Rattus norvegicus: one gene and its partner. The protein of the gene in region 1 purifies or fractionates together with the protein of each later gene. This does not show direct contact. Links are inferred from orthologs where the notes say so. Each region holds a gene or a part of one and is shown in the gene's direction. Other genes may lie near its edges. The genes, in order: Bptf and Smarca5.

The links.
Region 2: the proteins of Bptf (region 1) and Smarca5 purify together in Homo sapiens (affinity purification with mass spectrometry; 4 studies listed by BioGRID and IntAct, with this or other methods). This does not show direct contact. The link is inferred for Rattus norvegicus from reciprocal best matches to the Homo sapiens genes BPTF and SMARCA5.

Annotation. Positions count from the first base shown.
Region 1 is NC_086028.1:92,498,758-92,502,577, reverse strand, and holds part of Bptf (bromodomain PHD finger transcription factor), read left to right. Parts: intron 1-1,804; coding exon 1,805-2,033; intron 2,034-2,523; coding exon 2,524-3,410; intron 3,411-3,820. UniProt on the Homo sapiens protein: Regulatory subunit of the ATP-dependent NURF-1 and NURF-5 ISWI chromatin remodeling complexes, which form ordered nucleosome arrays on chromatin and facilitate access to DNA during DNA-templated processes such as DNA replication, transcription, and repair.
Region 2 is NC_086037.1:44,182,475-44,186,294, forward strand, and holds part of Smarca5 (SWI/SNF-related matrix-associated actin-dependent regulator of chromatin subfamily A member 5), read left to right. Parts: intron 1-1,202; coding exon 1,203-1,303; intron 1,304-1,963; coding exon 1,964-2,143; intron 2,144-3,391; coding exon 3,392-3,547; intron 3,548-3,627; coding exon 3,628-3,759; intron 3,760-3,820. UniProt on the Homo sapiens protein: ATPase that possesses intrinsic ATP-dependent nucleosome-remodeling activity.

The DNA of each region.
Region 1 (3,820 bases):
TAGTCTCTAGGTAGTGGCTTAGTCCCCGGAACTTGAGTATTTCTTATATACATTTTGAGTGTTATTCCCTTTCCCGGTTTCCGGGCAAACATCCCCTCCCCCCTCCCCTTCTTTATCGGTGTTCCCCTCCCCATCCTCCCCCCCCCCCCCCGTTTTTGTTTTATTTTATGTATATGATTACACTTGCTATCTTCAGATACACTAGAAGAGGACATCAGATCCCATTATAGATGGTTGTAAACTATCATATAGGTGCTGGGAATTGAACTCAGGACCTCTGGAAGATCAGCCAGTGCACTGAACTACTGAGCCATCTCTCAAACCCTGCAGTTGGGATTTTAAAACAAGAATATACAATTTGGTTGTGTGTGTATAGGCTTCAGAAACTGGCAAAACAAAGGCATGCCGCCATCCCCACCCCCCTATAGGGGACCTGCTTCATTTTACCCAAAGGGGCCGTTCCCATTGATTTTAAATGAATGTTGCTTCTTTCTAAGGTTTATTATTTCATATGTGGTAGTGTTTCGCTTGCATGTATGTGCATGCCTGTTGCTGATGGAAGGGACATGGAATTGTCCGTGACTGGAGTTTCAAGCAGTTGTGAGCCACTGTGTAGGTGCTGGGAATTGAACTTGGGTCCTCACAAGAATAAGTGCTCTAACACTGAGCTAACTCTCTAGCCCATGGATGTTGCTTCTGTTGTGGGAGGCTCAGTGATCTAGGAAGTAATATTCTTAAGAGATACAATGTTTAAACCGTGAGGACAGCCATGTCCTCTGGGAAAAGAACTTCAGCAGAGCACATCCCATTCTTGGGTACAGCATAGTCATCACCACGCTGCTTGTAACAGTTACTTAAACCTGGCATTTGTGGAGTTTTGGTCACCCACAGAATGCTATAGGAAGGAAGGCAGAGGTTATGGAGCCAAGTGCAGCCTTCCTAGCATGGAGAGCTGTCTCCTTCCTAACCCTGTGCTTGAGCACTAGGCTTTAAACAGTCTGTACATGTAGAACCCTGGTTTCTAGTTCCCCTGACTCTTGTGTTCTCACATTCTGTTTCTGATCCGTGAAGAAACACAACTGGGCAGTAGCATGCCTTCCCAGAGAAAAGACCTGGATTCAGCCGTTTGGAACACTTAACAGTGCATAGGACATTTGACGTGTTCATACTGCACGGGAACAAACGCAGACCCCAGAACACCTGCTCAGTTTTCAGCACCTTTAAGCTAGGGGATTTTTTCTTTCTGTGGCTCCGAGAGTTGGGTTTAGGGCCATGAGAATTGCAGGTTGGCTCTCGGCTGCAGAGACACTGTCCCAGCCCTTGGTTTTTTTGAGGCGGGTGTTAATATGTTGGGTCAGGCTACCTTTACATGTATGCACACCTTGCTGCTTCTGAGTCATTGAGAACGAGTGATTAGGGCATAGGGTAAGATTTGCTCTGCTAAGCACTGAATCTGTGTGAGACTGGAGTGAGACTACATGTAAAGATGTTTGAAAAGTATAAAATAACATTAATAAATAAAAGTGGCTTAAAGTAAGAATCAGGAGTAATGGCTTAAGTCAACGGTGCGTTCCAGGTTATCCTGGGATACCAGTGAGACCCAAACTCCTAAAATTTAGTCAATTGATTGAAATTAGAGTTTTGACCTGAACATGATGGCTCTAACCTATATCCAGACGTGAAAGTAGGAGTGAGTTTTGCCCCTGGGGTTCTCGCGGTGAGGATGTAACATAAATGATTTCATTCAGCTTTGTGATTTGTGATTTGAACACTGCATGTTCCGTGTTGTCTGCTTTTCCCACAGGGCGGCAACCAAGGTTTGACAGTAGTGATTCAAGGACAAGGTCAGACTACTGGACAGTTGCAGCTGATACCTCAGGGGATGACGGTCCTCCCAGGGCCAGGGCAGCAGCTCATGCAGGCCGCGATGCCGAATGGCACCGTTCAGCGTTTCCTCTTTACCCCACTGTCAACACCAGTCACGGCCGTCAGCAGCAGCAGCAGCAGCAGCAGCACTAATGCAACAGCTACAGGTAGACATGCTGGCTCTGCACTTGATGCTGGGTTCACACAGGGCCGGGTATGCGGCCTCCAGCCAGCATAACAGCCATGTGGTCAGCCTCTGTGCTTCATGCCTTATTCCTAGACTCACTTCCCAATCAACACAAAGCAAAAATAATAGAAAGGCGGGAGGAACAGAGTAACGGATGCCGTGGTCCCTGTGCCTGCTCTCCTGCTCCAGCCTTGGTGGAGCCATGAAGATGAGGGCTCCTTAGAGAGAACGGTGCTTGAGAGCTGCAGGCCCAGACCTCTTTGTAAGCCTTCTCCAAGCTCTCAGTGCTCGTTTCCATGTCCTAGCGGAAGAGTGACCCTTGACAGGTGCTCCTGAGCGCCCAGCTGACACACACAGAGGACATCAGGGACGTCCCAGCTCCTCAGTTGAGGAAATTCCCTTCAGAGTCTTCTTTCACCATAGTCTCCCAGTCTCACATCCAGAAACCATTTTGTCTTTCTTTTTTACAGGCTCAGGTGAACAAAAACAGAGTAAATTATCTCCCCAGACCCAGGTACAACCAGCCACAACCCTGGCACCAACTCAGTCATCAAGTGTGAGTCCTGCAGAAGCCCAGCCACAGCCTGCTCAGCCTGCAGCACAGCCCCAGCCCCAGCCCCAGCCCCCAGCTCAGCCTGAAGTCCAGACCCAGCCAGCTGCCTCGTCCCATGTCCCTTCTGAAACACAGCCCTCCCAAGCACAGTCATCTAAACCCCTGGTTGCAACACAGTGTCAGCCTCAGAGCAGTGTACAAGGACAGTCTCCAGTTCGTGTCCAGAGCCCACCACTGACTCGAATACGTCCATCAACTCCATCCCAAGTGACTCCTGGACAGCAACCCCAGGTTCAGACTACAGCCTCACAGCCGATTCCAATTCCGCCCCCCACATCTCTGCAGGCACCTTCCCAAGGCCAGCCACAGTCACAGCCCCAGGTACAGTCTTCAACTCAAACTCTTTCATCAGGACAGACATTAAATCAGGTTACTGTTCCATCCCCATCCCGTCCTCAGCCACAAACACAGCAGCCACAGCCCCAAGTCATCGCTGTGCCTCAGCTCCAGCAAGTCCAGGTTCTCTCTCAGATCCAGTCGCAGGTTGTGGCTCAGATACAGGCTCAGCAAGGTGGTGCGCCCCAGCAGATCAAACTGCAGTTGCCCGTTCACGTTCAGCAGAACAGTGCTGCGCAGGCCCAGCACGCTCAGAGTGTGCTCACAGTGCAGGCAGCCAGTGTGCGAGAGCAGTTGCAAAGGGTTCAGCAACTCAGGGATCAGCAGCAGAAGAAGAAGCAGCAGATAGAAATGGAGCGTGAGCACACCCTCCAAGCTTCTAACCAAAGTGAAATCATTCAGAAACAGGTAAAGTCATTAAGTCAAAGCAGCATGTTCAGTAGCGTGAATTACTGTGCTGTGCAGTAGACTTAGTGGTTTGGTTGTGTTAGGCTTCCGTAATGATACACAGTCACTGGTGGGTGACCTTGGAAGAGCAGAAACACTGCTTGCCGGGCCTGGCCTGGGACTTCTTGTTGGACATGTGGCATCAGTGCTTATGAGAAACCACATTTCCCTGGTAGAAAACTGAGTGCTAAGGCTCCCACCACAGTGTAGCTATTCACTTGAAGTCATTTGATTTGCAAGTGTCAGTCCTTCATTTGCCTATCGACTAAGCAAATTGTGGGCAGACAATTCATTTGCATTGACTTGCCACACCTTTGTAAAAATGTCTTAAATCAGATGTTTGTTGGTAGTTCCATGTAAGGTGTTGTGGT
Region 2 (3,820 bases), on another chromosome or scaffold:
AATCTGAGATGTTAATATATTGGTTGGAGTTATATAGCTATAGAGTGCTGATAGCATGTGGATAGCTCTGACTTTGATCCCTAGAGTTGAGAGACAATAGTATGGTACATTTCAGAAGTATATGAAGATGCCATTCAGCTTATTAGGGTTCTAAAATCCATGTAAAATGGAATGACTTTTGCCATACACTTTTCCCAAATTAGGAAATGTTATAAAAGGGGAAAAATCATGAAAAATAATTGCTTTTATTGATGATGGATATTTTTGTGAAATGTATTAGTGCTTTTCTATATGAAAACAGCTTAGTTTTACTTATAAATAATCTTGATTTGTGATAGGGTTATTAGAAGCTTCTATAATCTTCACGGAAGCCTAGTTTTACTGCAACTCCTGTTATTTGATGAGTAATTACTGTGGACAACTAATGGTTTTAGTTGGAGTCCTGCTTAGCTAGACTATTGAACAGTTTACTCACCCACTGGACCACTTTTAACACACACTTTCCTTTCCCCCGGCCTTTTCTTTTCAAATCAAGCTAGAGGCCAGAGCTACATGTATAACAAGCTGGAAAGGAAATTCAGGTTATTTCTGTCTCCAGTTGTAACTCGTGTGCCCAGTCCTGATGAGCTTTTCATTCTTAGGCAGCGATTTATCCCGGGAAGTACAAGTAATGTCTGTGTACTGAAGGACATGGGTCCTTATGTGCCATCTATCAGAGAACGGACTTAAGGAATAGAAAGGGTGGACTTGGAAAGAATTTCTTGTCTTTATTTCCACTCTCAATGGGGAGAAAGGAAAATCTTCAGAGAACTACTATCTGATCTTTATGAAGATGAAACCACTCGGTTAAAAGTGTGCTAACAAAAAAGAGAGGGAAAGAGGCCAGAGATACTCTGAAGACCAATGTGGTTTAACATTGGATTGAGTGATTTCGATGAGTTACTCTGATGCTAGTAGTTAGAGTTCCTCATCTGATAGCTTCACTATCAGTTACTTGTATCAATTACCCCTTCTTCAGTCCAGATTTCATTACCTATTTTTAATGACTTTCACCTTGCAGAAACCCCATAATATATGTATCCTCTAGAAAGGAGAAGTAGACACCTATAGGTTCCAGTTAAACCTCTGAATATCAGATAAAAGACAGCCCTATCTTATATTTCTTGTCCTTAAAATGAGCATTGTGTGTTGTTACTTTTTAGATGTAAAATGGGGTAAACTGAGAGATTATCAGGTCCGAGGATTGAATTGGCTCATCTCTCTGTATGAGAATGGCATCAATGGTATCCTTGCAGATGAGATGGTATGTATTTGCTAATCTCAAAGCTTGAAGATGTTTGTGTTCTTGTTGTTGTAACTTAAGATAGTTTGACTAAATCTGTAGCAGAAGAGAGATGGATAGTTTGGCTTGATTATAACTATTTTTTCCTTAAAGCACTATAATCCACTGTTTTAGTTGCGTAAGTGACGTCTTCACGTGTGAAGAGTTAACCATCTCTGCACTAGAGTAAATTTTAAAATAATGCATTTTGATAACTTTCTTGTTTTTGCAGTATTTGACTGTTTCTTTCCATTTATTAAAAGTCAGCTCACAGGGTTTAGTTTCACAGAACACCGTATCTTCTGTTCATGACTTACTAGTTATTTAGTGAAGACTTTAATCCTTCCAAAAGTAGTGCTTAAACAATTGGTTGGGGTAAGTATGCAGTCAGATATATCTCGCTCCTGCCTCTGATTGGTTACTTGGGGATGTCGCGTTTTCTGAGTCTTGAGGTGATGTTGATACCTTCCTTATAGACTTATGTGACGTAACTGTACACTTACACAGTAGTCAATCTCGTCATAGTTCTAAATGTTCCTAAATATGATGGGTCTATAAGTGTGGAAGGGTGTTTTTAATTGTTTAATTTTTAATTTGACTAGTGCAATTAAATTCTTTAATGTTGAATTATGAATTTTTTAGGGTTTGGGAAAGACTCTGCAAACAATTTCTCTTCTTGGGTACATGAAACACTATAGAAATATTCCTGGTCCTCATATGGTTTTGGTTCCCAAGTCTACATTGCACAACTGGATGAGTGAATTCAAGAGATGGGTGCCAACACTTAGGTCTGTTTGCTTGATAGGAGATAAAGAGCAAAGAGTAAGTATTTATACTATTAATATTTAATGGAATTTAAATTTAGACTTAAGATGAAATAACTGGAGAAGGGATTAAAAAGGATTGTTAGTAATTTATGACTATACACTACTTGTGGTTATTCAAGAATCTTACTGAGAACGCTTTAAAGACTAAAAAGCTAAATGAATTTCTTAATTTTATTTTCAGTTTGTTTCTCCCCTTGGAAGTCATTGTATAAAGTCCTAGATAATTTATTTGGAAATATTAACTTGTTTTTTTTGAATATGTTAAACCATTAGAAATTTGAGGGGCCAGATTTCTAGATTAGGGTACAGTGGTAATAGTCATAGAATAGTAATTGTTAAATATGAGTTGAGTCAATTTAGTAATTTGGTGAGCTGTTATATACAAATATGAGTTAAATTATTGACTTCCGGGCCACATCTTTTTAGGGCAAAGTCATGGCAATAACAACACTATTAAGAATAAAGAACTTAGATTTGGAAGTTGGATATAATCAAGTGTGTTCATTGATTAAATGATTATATTAAATGATTTTACACTTAATTAGTTGAGGTTAGTTTTTTTAAATATTATTTTATATTTATGGGTACTTTGCATGCATGTTGGTTTCCACTGAAGCCAGAAAAGGGAGTCAACACCTCTGGAACTAGAGTTAGGGATGGTTTTGAGCCACTGTGTGGGTGCTGAAAACTGAACCTTAGTCTTCTCTAAGAACAAGTGTTCTTAACCCCCGAGTCATCCTCCAGGAACTGTCTAGAGTTCTTTGCCCCTCAGTAGGTAGATTATGTGGGTTATTTTAAGTTACCAAGTTGCTTTTTTGTTTGAAGAAGTCAGCTACTTCTGCGTTTTAACTTCATATCCTTATCTATAAAATAAGAACAATAACAGTAATGTGTTAATATATCTACAAATCAAAAGAATGAGACCATCTATTGCCAACTGTCAGTCTTCCTTTATCTTACAAACCCTGCTTCCTAAGGATGGCAAGACCTGGTGAACTGTAGAAAGATAGTTTAAAGTTAGGCCATGGAATTTTGTGATTCCCTTCAACCTTTTGAAACTAAGTTAAACTGACTCTGTGGTGATAAGGAAGTAGTTTCAGTGGTGAGATGGTGGTGAGATGGTGGCTTTGATGTTCATTTAATGCCTGCTGTTTATTAGACTCCTTCCTTCCTTGGTTTTGATTACTTAAGTGAATTTAATGTATAATTGACTTGAGTGGTGTAATTTTTTTTTTCTTTATAGGCTGCATTTGTCAGGGATGTTCTATTACCAGGAGAGTGGGATGTATGTGTCACATCTTATGAAATGCTTATTAAAGAGAAGTCTGTGTTCAAAAAATTTAACTGGAGATACTTAGTTATAGATGAAGCTCACAGGATAAAAAATGAAAAATCTAAGGTAATTTGATACTTAATATGAACATTTTTTTGTGTCTGAGTGATTCAAAATGTTCTAATAATGGGCTCTGGTTCTTTCAGTTGTCAGAAATAGTGAGAGAATTCAAGACTACAAACCGACTGTTGCTGACAGGGACGCCTCTTCAGAACAACCTGCACGAGCTCTGGTCCCTGCTAAACTTTTTGTTACCAGATGTGTTTAATTCAGCTGATGTAAGCTCTTTTTGTGGTTAATAATATTTTGGTTAATGCCTATATTTTAATAATAGTGCTG